Linked DNA regions of Macaca fascicularis. The protein of the gene in region 1 interacts with the protein of each later gene in a pairwise test. Links are inferred from orthologs where the notes say so. Each region holds a gene or a part of one and is shown on either strand. Other genes may lie near its edges.

Region 1 (4,815 bases):
GGAGTTCTGGTGAGTTCGAGTTCTCGTAACTTGGGAGGGACTAACCAGAAGCCCGGCAAGCACCCAGTAACACGATCTCTGGGTATTCCTTCAGCCTCATCGATACATCTCTTCCTACCTCGCCTTCCTCCGCTGCAGCTTCTTTCAAGTCCGCATCTGCGTCTCCGTCAGTTTCCTCTGGGATTCCATCCGTGTCGGTAGCCCCCGGGTCCCCGGACGCAGCGGCCGTCTCATCCGACTCCCCTGTCTCTCCACCTTTGTCGGAGGGCGACTCGCGGGCATCGTCCATCACGGATAGGATTGGAGGGGAGAGGAGATCGCGGCGATGTCTGAGGCAGAAGCTCGGAACCCCGAGCTGCACAGGACAGTATCTTACTTCCTGTCGTCGCGCAGCGATGACATCACCCCTACCGCTCTCCTGAGGGGTCATTTTGAGGCGCGCGTAGAGGACTAGAGGACTCATTTTAACTTTGGTTTGGCGACAGTGGGAAGCGGGAAAATTGGACGTAAAGAGCTCAGACTATGGATCCTCCTAGCTAGGAAACCAGCACTTGTGAAGGAGCGCAGTTTTGTTTACTAAATAACTTTTTCCTTTTCGCCTGTCTAAAAATTCAATACCAGTTAATCCCTTCGTTAACCCCTCAGAGTAAAGTTGGGGGATCGGGAGAAAACTCAGTTCCGTTGTATGGCGGTGTCGTGGAATGAGGCTACCCGGGATTGGTAAACTTTCAGGCAAGACTCAACCTTGTGTATTTCAACTGGCCCGAAACCGCGGGTCTGTGTGTACGTGGAATTGCTAGCATTTCCGCTCCATTCAGCAAGCACCTTAACAACAAAAAGTCATCTAGCTTGAGCAGAATTTATCCAATTCATTTATTCATCCACAACTATTGACTGCGTACTTCGATTTAGAAACAGTGCTAGTACCAGGGAACAAAACACACATAGTTTCTATCCAATTAAATGATTTTTTTTCAGTTCGCAAGTATTCAAGATTGAGGTTTGTTTCTACAAGTCTGACACTTTTCTATCATTTTGGTTAATCTTACCAAAACTAAGAGGAAAGCCTAAAGAGAGGAAGGTGTCTCCTTCGAACGTTTCACTTTAACGAACTAGTTCATGTACTGGGAGGATGAAGTGGTGAGGATATTTCTATTTTAAAATTTTCTTCTCTTCCCTCATAGAGATACGAGGGGGAGGGCGTTTTATTCACCTGGGTATGACTAGGTCCCAGCACCTATTACATATTTAATTTATGCGTGCTTAAAGAATGTCCTTGGAAATGTAGGTGCGCGTTACCATATTTATCTCTTTGTTTCTGCGCTGCCTGGACGAATTGCCGTATTTCCTGTCCCAGGAGCTCCCAAAACGTTTAGGGAAGGAGCGCACTTCGGGAGGCGCGTACAGGTGGGCCTGTTTGTCCCTTTCCACCTATATAATGGGGACCCACAAGGCGCTGTCCCCATAACCCGTGAGGCCTGTCTCGGCACAGCAAAATCCACCTGCGCTGGTCCGCGGAGCCCCGCCCAGCTAGGTGAGCTAGGGGGCGGGGCGCGGGGGCGCGGTGACGCGTGACGCCGGATCCCGGAAGTGACGCGCTCGTGGAGAAAAGGCAGGGAGGGGGGGTGGTGTCCCCAGCCGGTTTGGGGGGTGCGTTGCCCGGAGACGGAAAGTTTGGGAGCCCGAGCAGGCTCGGCTGCAGCCCCGGGGAGGGGGGTCCAGCGGGTGGCGGCCCTGGGGATGGGGAAGGAGCAGGAGCTGCTGGAGGCGGCCCGCACCGGGCACCTCCCGGCGGTGGAGAAGCTGCTGTCCGGGAAGCGGCTCTCCTCTGGCTTTGGGGGCGGCGGCGGCGGCGGCGGCGGCGGCTCTGGGGGCGGCGGCGGCGGCGGCCTCGGCTCTTCCAGCCACCCCCTCTCCAGTCTGCTCAGGTGGGTACGCGCCGGGGCCGGGCCGCTGCCTGCAGACCCCTTCTCCCCCACCCGTCTCTTGGGTCTCCAGAGAGATCGGGGGTCCTGAGACTCGGGCGGGGTGGGCTTGTGGCGTGCCCGGGGCGAGGCAGGCGGCGCACGGGCCAGGATACCGGAGGGCGCGCGGGTCCGAGTCCACGCTGCTCCGGGCTCGCCTGGTCTCCCGTTCTGAGCCGGCTGCGAAGAATGGTGGGAGTGCCCAGGTGGCAGCCTCCGCCGCATGGCACAGCCGGGCTTCACCCTCGCTCGCTACAGGGTGCCAGCTGTCGTAGCCCACAAAAGCCAATTTGGAGCAAATATGTATATCATATATATACATATGCTCTCCCTCACCTCCTGCAGAAACTCCCACGCCTTGTAGAATCTCGAGGCTCCTCTGGAGGAAATTCTATTGATTTTTTTCTCTTAGGAACTTGGAACCTTCCACCAGGCTACGCAGGACCTCGCTTTTCCCGCCCCCCCCCCCCGCCCCGCCCGAGACGGAGACTTGTTCTATCACCCAGGCTGGAGTGCAGTGGCGCGATCTCGGCTCACTGCAACCTCCACCTCCCGGGTTCAAGCGATTCTCCTGCGGCTGCCTCTCGAGTAGCTGGGATTACAGGCGCCCGCCACGACACCCGGCTAGTTTTTGTGTTTTAGTAGAGACGGGGTTTCACCATGTTGGCCAGGCTGGTGTCGAGCTCTTGATCTCACGATCCGCCCGCCTCGGCCTCCCAAAGTGCTGGGATTACAAGCGTGAGCCACCGCGCACGCCCCCTCACTTTTGTTTATATTAAAATTGCCTCTGGATTTATCATTTTCAAGATGTTCGTCTTTTAGCCTCTCTTGTGCTTGAAGTTCAAATTGTAGTTCCTTGTAGTGAACCGTATTGAATTAGTCTAAGTGGCATATGCAGGATTCATCCGGGGGTTTATTCATCTAGAAATAAAGGCAGAGACACTTGTTTAGGAAACCGAGGAATGCTGTAAACTTTTCCAAGGTCTGTTGTTAAACGCTTCAATCTGGAACTGTAAGGACCGAGGGGAAAAGATCAGTTTTGTGTGGCTTCGAAGGGGGATTGGAGGTGCTTTGTCAGTGTGAGTTAAATGTGTTGGTTCAGCAGCGCTTTCATAGCCTGATTTCTTTTTCCTTCCTTGTTCTTTTGAGGTTTTTAAGAAGTGGAAGTTCATTTAGAAATGGCTTCGTTAGCTTTTGTTCCCCATTACTTTACGTAACTTCAGTTTGAGTGAGCTTGGACCACAGAAGCCTAAGGCGCTAATAAATTGTTGTTAATAGATATTAAGCACTGAGTACCAACCCAGGTATTTACAGGAAGATTTTGAAAGCAGTATAAGTAGGTACTTAAGATTTGTTGAAGAAATAAAAGTATCAATTGGAGGACCATAAATTTCTAAGTAAATGGATGGTGGATGGTATCACTCACTGTAATTGCTAGCAGGTCAGAGAACAGACATCATTTAGGGATGGAGTGGAGGTCAGGGCTTCCGAAAGGAGGGAGACTTAAGCTGGTCTTGAAGGATGTGAGGATTTGGGTAGGTGAGTTATTATGGGCATGTTCCAGGTGGGTATCCCATGATCAGAGGCACAGAAATGAGAACGGAAACTTATTTGGTGCTCCTGAGGCAACAGAAGAACTTCCTGCCTGGACCCTTGAGAGGTTGGGCATAATAAAGGTAAATAATAATGGATGGGTATACTTCCATATATCGTGTTTATATTCTCAGTCCCTAGATCAGTGCCTGACAACTTACAGGTGTTCAATAAATGTACAGTGAATGCATGAATTGGGTTTTGGATCTCACCTGGATTTGCCACTCTGCAGTTCTGATGTCTGAAAGGCGACAAGACTGTACAGGTTTGGAGATGCCTCTGTCTTTAATGAGTTGATGACATAGCATTTGGAGATTTTCCAGAGATATCTTAACCCTCAGCATATCCTGCTAAAGTGAGAAGTTTCTCATATCTCCCACCTTCAAGTACAGGTCAAATTATTCTTTTTTTTTTCTGGAGACGGAGTCTCGCTTTGTTCACAGTCTGGAGTGCAATGGCACTATCTCAGCTCACTGCAACCTCTGCCTTCCTGGGTTCAAGCGATTCTCCTGCCTCAACCTCCCAAGTAGCTGGGACTACAGGCACGCTCCACCACACCCAGCTAATTTTTGTATTTTTTGTAGAGATGGAGTTTCACCATGTTAGCCAGGCTGATCTCAATTTCTTGACCTCGTGATCCGCCCGCCTCGGCCTCCTAAAATGCTGGGATTACAGGCATTAACCACTGTGCCCAGCCTCAGGTCAAGTTATTCTTAGCGTGCTCACTCAGAGACTGTTGAAATTCTGCTGAGGATTTAACTGCCATATAGTTAATATAGTTAAGCAATACTAGGAAACCTGTTGAGCACAATGCTTCTACTTTGGGCCTCTTGCTGATGTGTCCCGTCTCTGCCATAAAGTGTGGGTGTTAACTCTCTGTTCCCCAGAGTTAGAGAGCTGGCTCCCCTTGACTTTCTTCCATGTCTTTTGTAGAGAGGGTAAATGCCTAAGAGCTTCCCAGCCTCTCATTCCTGTGACTCCTAGGGGCAGGGAGGATCTGGAGGCACTAGTTACACTAATTAGAGGTGACTCTGATTAAAGCTAGTGAAAGATTTCTGAGCAAATGAGACCGTGCCTAGGTCAGTATGTCCTCCCTTTTTAGATTTGGACATAGTAAAGTCTACCCCCAAGCCTCTCTCCCCTAAAGACCCTGGACTATTTAATGAGAGTTGTGGAATCATAGCTTCAGATTTGGCCTTTGTATTAGCTGCCATATTCTACTCCTACTTGTACTGCCAACTGTAACTTGCTTTTGTGC
Region 2 (4,732 bases), on another chromosome or scaffold:
TCTGCGGGGGCCTGGGCCATCGGATCACCGACTGCCCCAAACTCGAGGCTATGCAGACCAAGCAGGTCAGCAACATCGGCCGCAAGGACTACCTGGCCCACAGTTCCATGGACTTCTGACCCGATGGTCTTCCCTCCTCTCCAAGGGGCCTCAGTCCCCAAGATTGCCGCCAGTCTACACACACAGCAGCCCCCTGGACAGAACCAGCATCTCAGCTCGGCTGGCCTGGGCTGGGCCAGACTGGTCCTAGTTGCCTGTTCCCTGTGCTCCTCAGAATTACTATTTTTGTTTCCTTTCACCCCAGCTGCCATTAAAGCACAAACCTCTATCCCAGCCCTGGCCCTGCCTCTGTGTTTCATCTCATCCGCCCCCTGGTTCCTGGGGCAGACATCGCCTCTGACCTCTGGAGCCCCTCTGAGGCAAGGCCCCAGCGTCTCCCGCTAGCACTGCCAACACCCGGCCTGCTGGTGCTTGGGCATGGAAGGAGCCACCGAGCTGGTGCCAGCGTCTGGGGACTGAGCATCTCTCCATTGGGTTGTGTGAATTTATGACTCAAGGAGGGACCACACTGGCAGGCCAAGGAGAAGTGCTTGGATTCTCTGGTCTCCCTGGCCAGCTGTCACAGCTCTCGGGCTCACTCTTCCTGTCAGTGGTGTGATGTTTCAGGGGCTTCTCCTGAAGCCCCTTGGGGGGCTGCTGCTTGCCTGAGGCTCCCCACCCACTGCCTGCCTGCGCCAGCCACCTGTAGGAAGCCCTCTGCTCTGTTGACTGAGGAGGCAGCAGATGTCATAGAACTGCCGTTCAGGCCACAAGCTCCCCCTAAGTCTGCTCTGTGCCCAGCTCTGCTGAGCTGTGAGGATCTAGACGGGCCAGGGAGATGGCTACCTGGGAAGCTCTCAGGCGAGGGGAGAGAAAGATGCACACACAGAAATGTGGACGGCAGTCACAAGACCGCTGGCAGATGAAGCAGGATCTCGGCATCTGGCGAGAGGTAGGCAGGGAACGGCACAGGCGGCCACACTTCCTCTGAACCGGGCACTTTGTGTGTATGGCCACATGCTCATTCCAGTGGGACGGCGGTTGCTCAAGCCATATTTGTCACTTGGTGTGTGGCCTTGGGCAAGTTACTTAATTTTTCTAAGCACTGATTTCCTCACTGTTGAAATGACGATGAGAATGCAAAGGACATGGTGTCTGAGGTGGCTGGAGCTCAGGGCTGCCTGGGCACAGTGGGCACAGAGCCGGGTGCTGGGAGGCCTTTAGGAAATATTTCCTGGCCAAGTGCATGCCCAAACGGCATTCCTTAGCCTGCTTCCATGTTCTGTCCCAGAGGTGACACTGAATGACCTGAGACTGTTCCAGAATAAAGATACACACACACAGCCCCGCTACTGGTCTCCTGCTAGGCAAGCCAACAAAATGAGCCCCCAGCAGGAAGCAACGCTTTAAATGAACATGTGACCTCTCCGGGGCCCACTGGGACCTGCCACCCACACTCACGTGGTTGGGGCCATTCAGGGGTGTGGATCCCATGTGGACTGGATACCCAGCGTGAGGGCCTTTGTGCTCTGGGACAGCGTGTAGTGGTCAGGGAAGGCCTCCAAGAGGAAGAGGTGACCCACCTTCCCAGGCGGCACAGTGGTGAGGAGGCCCGGAGGGGCTGGTCTGGGGGAATGAGCCTGAGGGAGATGGAGGCCGGAACACACGGGCCCGGAGTGTCGGGCTGAGGAGCCGGGCTGCAGCCCAGGAAAGGGAAAGACAGGGGTGGTCTTGGGTTGTGGCGAGTGCTGCATGGGGCCCCAGTGGGGCTGTGTCCCCCAGGGGGATGCCAAGGCTGCCAACGTTCAGCGGCTCGTCGGGTGGAGAGGAGCAGGTGAACACGAGAGATTTCAGGGAGAAAGAGCAGCAAGATGGGGTGAGGCGCTCAAGCTGGGACGCCGAGTGGGAAAGCCAGGAGTTGGCTAGAGAAGGGTCCCGGCTGGAGGCACGGCCAGGGAGCGTCAGGCCAGGGTGCACAGCTGCCCAGGGCGGGTCGGGGGAAGGCGGGAACGCATGACGCAGGGAGCCAGCCTGCCACCAGACGCTCATGCCCAGCTGAACCAGGTGCGGGCGCAGGCTGTTTGCCTTCAGGCGGCCAGGGACTCCCTCCAGGTAGGTGTGGGCACCTTGGGCAGCCAGAACCCCAGGAAGGAAATCCACGCTGCCCCAGCCCGAGCTGAAGACAGGTTCCCCTCCCCCCGGCCTGCAGCTGCTTCTGGACGGAGGACGGGAAGTGGCCAGAAGGGGAAGTGTGAGGAGTTCCCGTCCAGCCTGTCATCAGTCTCCCCAGGTCTTGAAGCAGCGGCCCTGCTCCCTGCCGTGACCATGGACCCTGTGGAGACCCCTATCAAGGATGGCATCCTCTACCAGCAGCATGTCAAGTTTGGCAAGGTGGGGACTCCTGGCTGCCAGGCAGCTGCCAAGGACCAACAGTGGGTGGAGAATGCAGCCTCCGCCCCTGCCTCGGACAGCCCAGGCAGACCTGGGAGACTTGGGAAGGGAGTCAGGGTGAAGGATCCCACCCCAGGTATGGGGAGTGGAACAGAGCACGGGTCTCGGCCAGAGATGGCAGGGGCTGAGCAGGCTCTGCCAGACCCTGCCTCTGGGAGAGACGGGGAATACAGGAGCGGGAGAGGGTCGAAGGCTCAAACCTCCCAGCAGGGAAGAGCTTCACAGCCTCTGACCCACTGCGGGCCCTAGGGAGGGTGAGGGGCTGAGCTGGAGTCCCAAGGGTGGAGCCCCTCCCTGCAGCGGCACTGTCCTGGGAGCAGCGAGGCAGGGGGGTCACCTCTCCTCGGCAGTGGCCCCACACCCCCGCAGCTCAGCTGCAGCTGCTGCCCAGGCAGATAAACCGTCGATTTCCTTTGCTCGAAGCTATTTGCATGTTTCCTTCCTTACCAGCGTGAGGCGGAGGCCTCCCTCCCACCCCAGCCCTTGGCCTGTGGCCCAAGTGCCCCTTTTTGGGGGCAAGAGGGAGCCAACATAATGGCAGTGTCTGGTGGTCTGCCCGGCCACTGGAGGCTTTACAAACATGACCCGGTAGCAGCCCCAACTCGTGTTCTCGTGGCCTTTTGAGAGACGACACTGATGCTTGTGGAGGTCACAGTTCGGGAAGAGCGGGCTGGGATTTGAACCCAGGGCTGACCAGTCCCAAGCCCAGCCAAGGCCTCCTTCCTGGCGCCCTGAGAAACTAGGGAGCAGGGGCCTGCTCCTGGCTGGGAGCGTTTGCCAAGCAGCTTGTGCTGAACCGAGTGGCACGGAGAATCTGCCACCCAGGAGTCTCCGCTCTCCCCCGCCTCTCCCGCAGAAGTGCTGGCGGAAGGTGTGGGCTCTGCTGTATGCAGGAGGCCCATCAGGCGTGGCGCGGCTGGAGAGCTGGGAGGTCCGGGATGGTGGCCTGGGAGCAGCAGGTGACAGGTCGACAGGGCCTGGCCGGCGAGGGGAGCGACGGGTCATCCGCCTGGCTGACTGTGTGTCGGTGCTGCCGGCCGACGGTGAGAGCTGCCCCCGGGACACCGGTGCCTTCCTGCTCACCACCACCGAGCGAAGCCATCTGCTGGCCGCGCAGCACCGCCAGGCCTGGATGGGCCCCATCTGCCAGCTGGCCTTCCCGGTGAGTGCGGCGGGCAGGGGGGTGGTTGGGCTGGGGCACCTGCCCCCGACTTGTCCACCTCCATGCTCACTCACATCCCGCCACCCAGCAAGCTCCACCGAGCACCTACAATCCTGGGAAAAGTAAATCTATAATGACTCTCAGAGGGCCACGCGCGCCGTGGAGAAAATGGACCGCCAGGGGAGCAGGAGGAACTGAGGGTGCGACGGGCAGGGTGGTCAGGGAAGGCCTCTCAGAGGAGGGCCCTGAATGACAGGAGCCCACTGGGCAAAGGTCTGAGGACAGGGGCAGCCTGGGGAGTTGTGAACAGAGGCAGTCCCGTGGGCAGAGGCCCCGAGGTCGGACAGTGTGGGGTGTTTAAGGGCAGAAAGAAGGCGACATGGCTGGAAGGATAGGAGTGCAGGAGGAAGCCAAATCACGGAGCTTAGGGGAGCAGCTGAAACGCCCCAGGCCATGTGTGTGGTTCTGTTCTGAGTGTGAGGCGAAGGCTTTGGAGGGTTGTAGCCAGACACGTTTGTAAAGCCCCACAAGGTCTGTGATGGGTCAAAAGGAAGTGAGCCTGGGGGTTCTTCAAAGAGGTAAACAGAGTTACCATGTGGCCCACAGGCCCACTCCTAGGTGTGTGCCCAAGAGAACTAGAACAGGTGTTCAAACAAAACATGTGCATGTGAGGCGGCAGGATCGCGTGAGCCCCAGAGGTCGAGGCTGCAGTGAGCCATAATCGTGCCACTTCACTCCAGCCCGGGAGACAGAGCAAGACCCTATCTCAAAAAAAACCCCATAGCAGCACTACTCACGGCCACCAGAAGGTGGAAACAGCCTACATGGCCATCAGCTGACAAATGGATAAACAAAACGTGGTCTGTCCACAAGATGGAATACTACTCAGCCATAAAAATGAACAAACGGGCCAGGCGCAGTGGCTCACGCCTGTAATCCCCCACTTTGGTAGGAGGATTGCTTGAGCCTAGGAATTCAAGATCAGCCTGGGCAACATAGTGAGACCCTGTCTCTAAAAAAAAAAAAAGAAAAGGAAAAAAGAAAAAGAAATGCACAGACTAGGTAACTCCGTTGGGATAG

The links.
Region 2: the proteins of ANKS1A (region 1) and DOK3 interact in a two-hybrid assay, tested with the Homo sapiens proteins (2 studies listed by BioGRID and IntAct). The link is inferred for Macaca fascicularis from reciprocal best matches to the Homo sapiens genes ANKS1A and DOK3.

What each region holds. Positions count from the first base shown.
Region 1 is NC_088378.1:136,802,349-136,807,163, reverse strand, and holds the start of ANKS1A (ankyrin repeat and SAM domain-containing protein 1A), read left to right. Parts: upstream 1-1,636; 5' UTR 1,637-1,740; coding exon 1,741-1,928; intron 1,929-4,815. Other genes in the region: TAF11 (transcription initiation factor TFIID subunit 11), read right to left, coding at 119-289. UniProt on the Homo sapiens protein: Regulator of different signaling pathways. Regulates EPHA8 receptor tyrosine kinase signaling to control cell migration and neurite retraction.
Region 2 is NC_088380.1:184,450,249-184,454,980, reverse strand, and holds the start of DOK3 (docking protein 3), read left to right. Parts: upstream 1-1,512; 5' UTR 1,513-2,151; intron 2,152-2,248; 5' UTR 2,249-2,364; coding exon 2,365-2,430; intron 2,431-3,346; coding exon 3,347-3,652; intron 3,653-4,732. Other genes in the region: probable ATP-dependent RNA helicase DDX41, read left to right, coding at 1-119. UniProt on the Homo sapiens protein: DOK proteins are enzymatically inert adaptor or scaffolding proteins. They provide a docking platform for the assembly of multimolecular signaling complexes. DOK3 is a negative regulator of JNK signaling in B-cells through interaction with INPP5D/SHIP1.